2 linked regions of the Macaca mulatta genome follow. Each later gene encodes a partner of the first gene's protein in a complex. Links are inferred from orthologs where the notes say so. Each region holds a gene or a part of one and is shown in the gene's direction. Other genes may lie near its edges.

Evidence for each region.
Region 2: the proteins of ARHGEF7 (region 1) and SHANK1 are in contact, whole or in part, in a crystal structure (PDB 3L4F), measured with the Rattus norvegicus proteins. The link is inferred for Macaca mulatta from reciprocal best matches to the Homo sapiens genes ARHGEF7 and SHANK1. Residues at the interface, in XP_063131056.1 of Rattus norvegicus: Asp735, Ala737, Trp738, Asp739, Glu740, Thr741, Asn742, Leu743; in NP_113939.2 of Rattus norvegicus: Gly673, Phe674, Gly675, Phe676, Val677, Leu678, Arg679, Gly680, Ala681, Lys682, Phe696, Glu703, His735, Arg736, Val739, Ile742.

What each region holds. Positions count from the first base shown.
Region 1 is NC_133422.1:105,634,331-105,637,979, forward strand, and holds part of ARHGEF7 (rho guanine nucleotide exchange factor 7), read left to right. Parts: intron 1-648; coding exon 649-727; coding exon of another isoform or gene 728-817; intron 818-918; coding exon 919-1,058; intron 1,059-3,478; coding exon 3,479-3,649. UniProt on the Homo sapiens protein: Acts as a RAC1 guanine nucleotide exchange factor (GEF) and can induce membrane ruffling. Functions in cell migration, attachment and cell spreading. Promotes targeting of RAC1 to focal adhesions. May function as a positive regulator of apoptosis.
Region 2 is NC_133424.1:63,096,662-63,100,310, reverse strand, and holds part of SHANK1 (SH3 and multiple ankyrin repeat domains protein 1), read left to right. Parts: intron 1-1,201; coding exon 1,202-1,279; intron 1,280-1,535; coding exon 1,536-1,602; intron 1,603-1,892; coding exon 1,893-2,223; intron 2,224-3,070; coding exon 3,071-3,264; intron 3,265-3,649. UniProt on the Homo sapiens protein: Seems to be an adapter protein in the postsynaptic density (PSD) of excitatory synapses that interconnects receptors of the postsynaptic membrane including NMDA-type and metabotropic glutamate receptors via complexes with GKAP/PSD-95 and Homer, respectively, and the actin-based cytoskeleton.

The sequences.
Region 1 (3,649 bases):
TTCACTTCTGATTTGTTTGTAATGATCACTTTGTACCCCGTTTCTGGTATCTTTTCCATTGACATTTCCTGTTGCAGTTACTGATTTCTTCCATTTTCAGGGAGCATTGGTTTGCCAACCATTTTCTGCATTGTGTGCAGCATTTAGCACAACTACTTATTTTCTGTTTGGTGGATTATAAAGTAGAATGTTAGGCAATTCTTGTTCTTGCCTCAATTTCCCACCCTTATTTTGACTTTAAACTTGGAGCTTCCTCTGTATTTCTTTATGAGGCAAATACATGCTGCTTTTCTGCAAAAACATCGTTTAAAACAACTGTTACACGTGGTAGTTTTTAAAAAATCATAATGTGAGATTTTTTGTCCTGGTGTCTGTTTAGTAGCAGCTCATCAGATGCAGTGTGTGTTTGGGCTTGTCAGTCTGTCCCTTGTCGCCAGTTGAGTTTCTTGCTTACAGTATAGTATTAATATGATTTATTATTTGAGATAAAGATTTTTGTATTATACATGCATCTGCTACAAACGAACTCTTTTTGGTTCACAAACAGTTCCTCCACCAATTCTAAAATCATTTAATATTACTTTAATAATGGTACCTTTTTCTAGAAAAGCACTAATTGTTTTTTTTTTGTGGGGGGGTCTTTTTTAGGGAAAGCTTCCAACGACAGGAATGACAATCACAAAGCTTGAGGACAGTGAAAACCATAGAAATGCATTTGAAATATCAGGTGATAGGCACAAGCTGTGTGAGTGCCGTGTCTCGGGGAGGAGAGGCAGCTTGTCCCCGCGTGCAGATTCTTGCTTGCATATTTCAGAAGGTGGTGTTTAAGCGTTGAGTGGAATTCTGGGGGCTGTGTGTGCATGCACGCGCTTTTTACCTGTGTTTCCACTCGGCCTATTTTTTCCTTCTCTCCTCTAGGGAGCATGATCGAGCGGATATTAGTGTCATGCAACAACCAGCAGGATCTGCAGGAATGGGTGGACCACCTACAGAAGCAAACGAAGGTCACATCTGTGGGAAACCCCACCATAAAGCCTCATTCGGTGCCGTCTCATACCGTAAGGACCTGGCGCTTCTTCTCCTTCCAGACTCCAGGCGTGGCATCCCGTGGCTGAGCTGTCAGCAAGTGATCACGTGCTTTAAAACCTGATCAATATTGGGATAAAAATGCAAACGCTTGCTTGATATTTCTCTGAAAATATTTGGCCCTCTTTGTGCAGTAGTGAATTGTTTTCCAATGAGTGTTCTCGAGAAACAACCCTGAATTGTGCCTCCTCACGCACAATTCAGAGGTGCTTGGGTGGGAAGCTGCTTTTGCTCAGCGTGGCCTTAGAAGACTAATTTAGGGGAGTTTTACACTAAACTATAGATGATTTTTCTGAGAATTTTAACTGTTTATTATGCTTCATTTAAGAAAACGAAAATAAATGATTATGATGATGAAAAGGGCCAGATTCATGTTGAAGGCATTAAAATAGAATTTATGACACACTGTTGATTTTAAGAAATTGAGGTGTCTTTTACTTAGAAAAGCTCAGCAACTCTTTGAATTTTTAGAGAATTACAACTTTTCAAAATAGATGAACACTGAATTCGGTTGCAGTGTTTAAACCTCTCCTGGTGTTTTTTGCTCAAGAAGTTGGTATCGGGTTGTTTTAACAGTCGTCATCTTTATCAAGTAATACCGAAAAACTGGGCAGAGCTTTTAAAGAATGAGTGGCGATGACACGGCATTTTCAGCTTGCAGATTCCCTCACATCCTTACTAGGTTATTAGGATCAGTTCTGTCGTGTGCTCAGTTTTCATGTTTTCTTCTTCATGGGAAGGTTGTAGATCAAGAAGGATTGCTGTATTCTGATATTCTCATCAGTTTCAGAGTCCATCTGATTTCTCTCAGCAGTGTGCAGATAACTACTCATTGGCTTTTAGCTAGCATTTCATCTTTAATGGCTCTGCCGTTTTAAAATTCTCCATTCTTTCGTGGAGATCAGTTTATCCCAGCGACATGTGTACACGTGTGTTTATAAAGAACAGTGGATGAGCTGCTTCACTCAGATTTTCAACAGCAGCCTGAAACTCTACTTCATACAATTTTACATCAAGTCAGCTTTTCTCTGCGGCCAGACCCTCCGTCTTAGTGTTTCTTTCACTGGTGGCGGGGAAGGCACTGTGCCTCATGTTTAAAATGTTCTGCGTTCTCCTACAGAGTTTCTTTTGTGGGATGATGTATTCTCCTGTGATCTAACTCTGTCCAACTGAAGTCATATTCTAATTTTAGCATAAAGCATACTTCCTTTGACTTTCTCAAGAAAGGAGAAACAAAACCAGACACTACTTAACTCTGACGTTGTTGCTAGGAGGGATGTCTTACATAATTTTCTCCATCTATACATTATTTCCTATGAAAAGATGACGTTACGGTGGCTTCATAGCATGACCTGTATCTCACACGATTCCCTCCCCCATGCAGGGACTAGAATGTGATCATTGCAGAAAGTTGATGGCGTCTGTTCTTGAAATTGTGGCATTAGCTGCTGTGGGGCCTTCCCTCTCAGCCTGTTTTGAAGGTCGTGTACTTCAGAATGCCGACCCCACTCAGGTTTCCAGTTCACAGCGCCACACAGCTTGTTCTCCCATTAAACGCGCCTTACTATTGTTGGCTAATTTGAAGTCATTGTTGGCTGATTTTGAGACTTACTTAACTTTTCTCATTTAACTGTCATTGTGATGGGATATTTCGGGTTTCCCAGGAATATAAAATTCATTAATGACATACCTCCTCTAAGAAGTTAATTTTCAATTAACTTTGTTTTGATTAAAGTTGAGTTTTCTAAGAAAATAACTGATTTTATACCAGGGTTTGGCAGTGTTCTAGAAAGAGCCAGATGGTAAACATTCTCTGCTTTACAGGCTCAGGCCTCTTGCAGCTGTACTCTGCCCTTGTAACACAGCAGCAGCTTTAGACAGGCACGGGCCTGCTTGTGTGCCAGGAAAACTTTTTTAAAAAACAAAACTAGGCGATTGGGCCTTAGTTTCACCCAGTACTTCATCACCAGGTGAAGAATAATACGTGACCGGGGGGAATCACCTTCCTTCTTACAGCCACATGCCCTGTGTGCTTTTGTGAAATTCTCATCTTTTTACTAGATAAAGTACCTTTTTTTCTGTTAATGTTACTCCGTAGCTAATAAATGTGGCTAGTGGATGTCCGAGTGCTGGGGCGCCAGCTAGAGCTGCCCCTCCCGTCTGGGGCAGACACCGTGGGGGGGTCCCATGCTCAGCCCAAGTGGCGCGAGCTGGTGCTTGGCCCCAAAAACTACTGAGAGCCAGAGATTCGAACGAAATGATAAATGATAAATCCTGGGGTTTATTTCACATGGAGTGTTTAAAGAGCGGAAGGAAGTGCGTGATAGTGCCCTTTCACGGTGAGCATGCAAGTCTCACGTTCTCTGCCCTTCCCGCTCTGTGCCCTCGGCAGCTGCCCTCCCACCCGGTCACTCCGTCCAGCAAGCACGCAGACAGCAAGCCCGCGCCGCTGACGCCCGCCTACCACACGCTCCCCCACCCCTCCCACCACGGCACCCCGCACACCACCATCAACTGGGGACCCCTGGAGCCTCCGAAAACACCCAAGCCCTGGAGCCTGAGC
Region 2 (3,649 bases), on another chromosome or scaffold:
GACACACTTGTCAACGTCTAAAGACATTTTTGGTTGTCATGACTGGGGAGGGGAGTGCTACTGGCATCTAGTGGTAGAGACGGGGGATGCTACTCAACATCCCACAGTGCTCAGAACACCCCCCACAAACCAATGAATCACCAAAGAATTATCTGGCCCCAACGTTCAGTGGAACATAGCATGAGCACGTATCCTAAATGCCCTCAAATATCCTAGTGGCCATGTTAAGGAGAAGGGGAAAATAATTAGGTGACATTTATTGTAACAACATACTTTACTTGTAACAGTGTATCCAAAATGTTATCATTTCAACATAGAATCAATACAGAAATTATTTTTTTTTTGTGTGTGTGTTTTTTCTTTTGAGACAGTGTCTCCCTCTGTCATCCAGGCTGGAGTGCAGTGGCGGGATCTCGGCTCACTGCAACCTGCACCTCCTGGGTTCAAGTGATTCTCCCACCTCAGCCTCCTGAGTAGCTGGGATTACAAGCGCCCGACACCACACCTGGCTAATTTTTGTAGTTTTTTGTAGTGACAGGGTTTCACCATGTTGTCCAGGCTGGTCTCAAATATCTGGCCTCAAGTGATCCGCTCGCCTTGACCTCCCAAAGTGCTGGGATTACAGGTGTGTGTCACCACGCCTGGCATTTTTTTTTTTTTTTTTCTGGGCGGAGGGGAGACAGGTCTGTGCTCTGTCACCCAGGCTTGATCTCAGCTCACTGCAGCCTCAAACTCCTGAGCTCAAGAGACCCTCCCACCTCAGCCTCCCAAGTATTTGGGACTCCAGGCACCCACCACCATGCCTGGCTAACTTCTGTTTACTTTTTTATAGAAATGGGGAGTGTCTCACTATGTCGCCCAGGCTGGTCTGGAACTTCTGTCTTGGCCTCCCAAAGTCTTAGGATTACAGGCTTGAGCCACCACACCTGGCTATAGACATTTAAATTCTCTCTTGTTTTCATATGGCATCCTTGAAATCCAGTGTGTATTTCGCATGTATGGTGCATCTCCATTTGGGCCATCCATGTTTAAACTCAAGTGCTCCTGGTCCGTACCTGGCAGGTGGCTGCTGTCCTGAGTGGTGTGGGTTTAGGGTGGAGTATTTATTCCTGAGGCTCTTAGCATAGTACCTGTATCCACTCATGGTGCCCTTAATCTTTTTTCTCTCTCTTTGTCCTGCACCACTGGCCATCACCCACAGGAGACCTGTGCCAGGATCCTCCTGTATCGAGGTGCCGACAAGGATGTGAAGAATAACAACGGACAGACCCCATTCCAGGTCTGGGGCTGCAGTGGATATACTGAAGTCTCCAGGGCTAAGGAAAGGCTGACAGTGACACCCAGTGGATAAGGAAGGGGACAATGAGGAAAGCAAGGAGACAGGCCGTGGAGGGGGAGCTGGAAGAAGAGGGAGGGCGGCATTGTCAGGGTGGAAGGTTTGGGTCGGGCTGGGGACCTCAGCATGTTTCCTGCCCTTTCTCTGCTCCCTGGGCCACCCCGCCCCCCGCCAACCCACCTCTACCCCCTCCCTCCAGGTGGCAGTGATTGCTGGGAATTTTGAGCTGGGGGAGCTGATCCGAAACCATCGAGAACAGGATGTGGGTGAGTGACAGGGAGCTGGGGCTGCACAGAGAACCTGGGGCGGCTGGGGTTTCATGGTAGGATGGGAGAGTTGGGGTACCTGACTTGAGGGCCAGGATAGGATGGAGAAAACCCTAGAGGACCAAAAATGTCTGGGTGGTGGTTGGGGGAGCAATTCCAGGCCCCCCGCCCTTTCTCATCTCTGTCTTTCTCCCTCATGCCTCTCTCCCACCATCTCTCGCCCCCGCATGGCCCCCTGCTTGCCTTTTCTCCCCTAACATCTGCCCCCCGCCGCCACTGTGCCCTCTCAGTGCCCTTCCAGGAGTCCCCCAAGTACGCGGCCCGGCGACGGGGGCCCCCGGGCACAGGGCTGACAGTGCCCCCGGCGCTGCTGCGGGCCAACAGTGACACCAGCATGGCGCTGCCCGACTGGATGGTGTTCTCCGCCCCAGGGGCCTCGTCCTCTGGGGCCCCTGGCCCTACCTCAGGGTCCCAGGGCCAGTCGCAGCCCTCGGCCCCCACCGCCAAGCTCAGCAGCGGGACCCTCCGAAGTGCCAGCAGCCCCCGGGGTGCCAGGGCCCGCTCTCCATCCCGAGGGAGGCACCCTGAGGACGCCAAGAGGCAGCCCCGAGGCCGGCCCAGGTAGGGGAGGCAGCCCTGGCTCCACAGTCCCCAGCCCCGTCAAATCCCCTCCCCAGAGCGGTGGCTTCCCCCGAGGCCAGCCCAGCTGCCTTCCTCTGTAGGCCCTCATCCATCCAAGTCCCTAGTGTCACCGTGGGGTAAAGGAAGGGCCTTGGGAGCTACTGTCCCGACTCCACCCCCAGTGCACCACGTTAGCTGGACATCTGCTCCACGACAGGGGCCCCATGCAGAGGATACCCCAAAGAAACATGTGTCCCAACCCCTGGGGACAGAGAATGACAGGGTGAGGTGGAGGGAAGCCGAGCAGGAAGAGGATGGGGGTGGTGGCAGGGACTTGGGTGGGGGACAGAGAGGTCACTCTGGAGGGAGGATGAGGAGTGGGCGGGGGACATTCCGGGGTCAGGAGGCCCACATGGCTAGAGGAGGGTGAGAAGGAGGTGGAGGCCAGCCAGGCGTGTCCCGAGGAAGTGGGGGAGAGGCTGGCAACGGCGGGCAGAGGAGTTGGACCTGACCCAGGAGGAAGCTGGGAGTCGCGGAAGGCTCGTGAGCGGAGGGATGACACAGTCCCAGCTCAGCCTCAGGAAGCTGAATCAGGCGGTGCGCACAGGACCGTGGGAGGGGGCAGAGCCGGAAGCCAGGAGGCAGGAGAGGGGGCTGGGGGCAGCTGCGGGGAGGCAGAGGAGCCCCCAAATGCCCTCTTTCCTGGAGGACACCAGTGCTGGGAAAGCCCCTCCCCCCACCTCCACCCTGATGCTCCATCCTCTTCCCCCACCCAAGGACCCCTGTCCTCCCAGAGGTGTTCCCTCCCTCCACCCTCCCTTGCCTCTCATGCCCTCTGTGTACACAGCTCCAGCGGGACACCCCGGGAAGGGCCAGCCGGGGGCACGGGGGGCTCAGGGGGCCCCGGGGGCTCCCTGGGCAGCCGTGGGAGGCGGAGGAAGCTCTACTCAGCAGTACCCGGACGCTCCTTCATGGCTGTGAAGTCGTACCAGGCCCAAGCCGAGGGGGAGATCTCCCTGAGCAAGGGCGAGAAGATCAAAGGTACCCAGGGTGGAAGCAGGGCCTGCGCTGGGCTGGGCTGTGGGGGCGATCAGGGAAAACGTGGAGCAGAGAGCAGACCATTCTCAGATACCCAGAGTATCTCAGACCTCAGAGAGCCCTGCGGCGCCCCTTGAGCCTTGAAGGAGCAGAGAGTGTAGCTGAGATTACCCTGTCAGGAGGCAGTGCTGAGGCAAAGGCAGTGAAGTGGGCTGGGTCCCATTGTGGGACACTGATGCCGTGTGCAGGGCATAGTTGGAACATCTCACCAAATTGTCTCATTAGACTCCTCATGGTCCTTTCTGGGGAGGGAGGTCATGGGCCACATTGCATGGTTGAAGGAACAGAGCCTCACACAGGTGAAGCAACTTGCCCAAGGTCCCCAGTC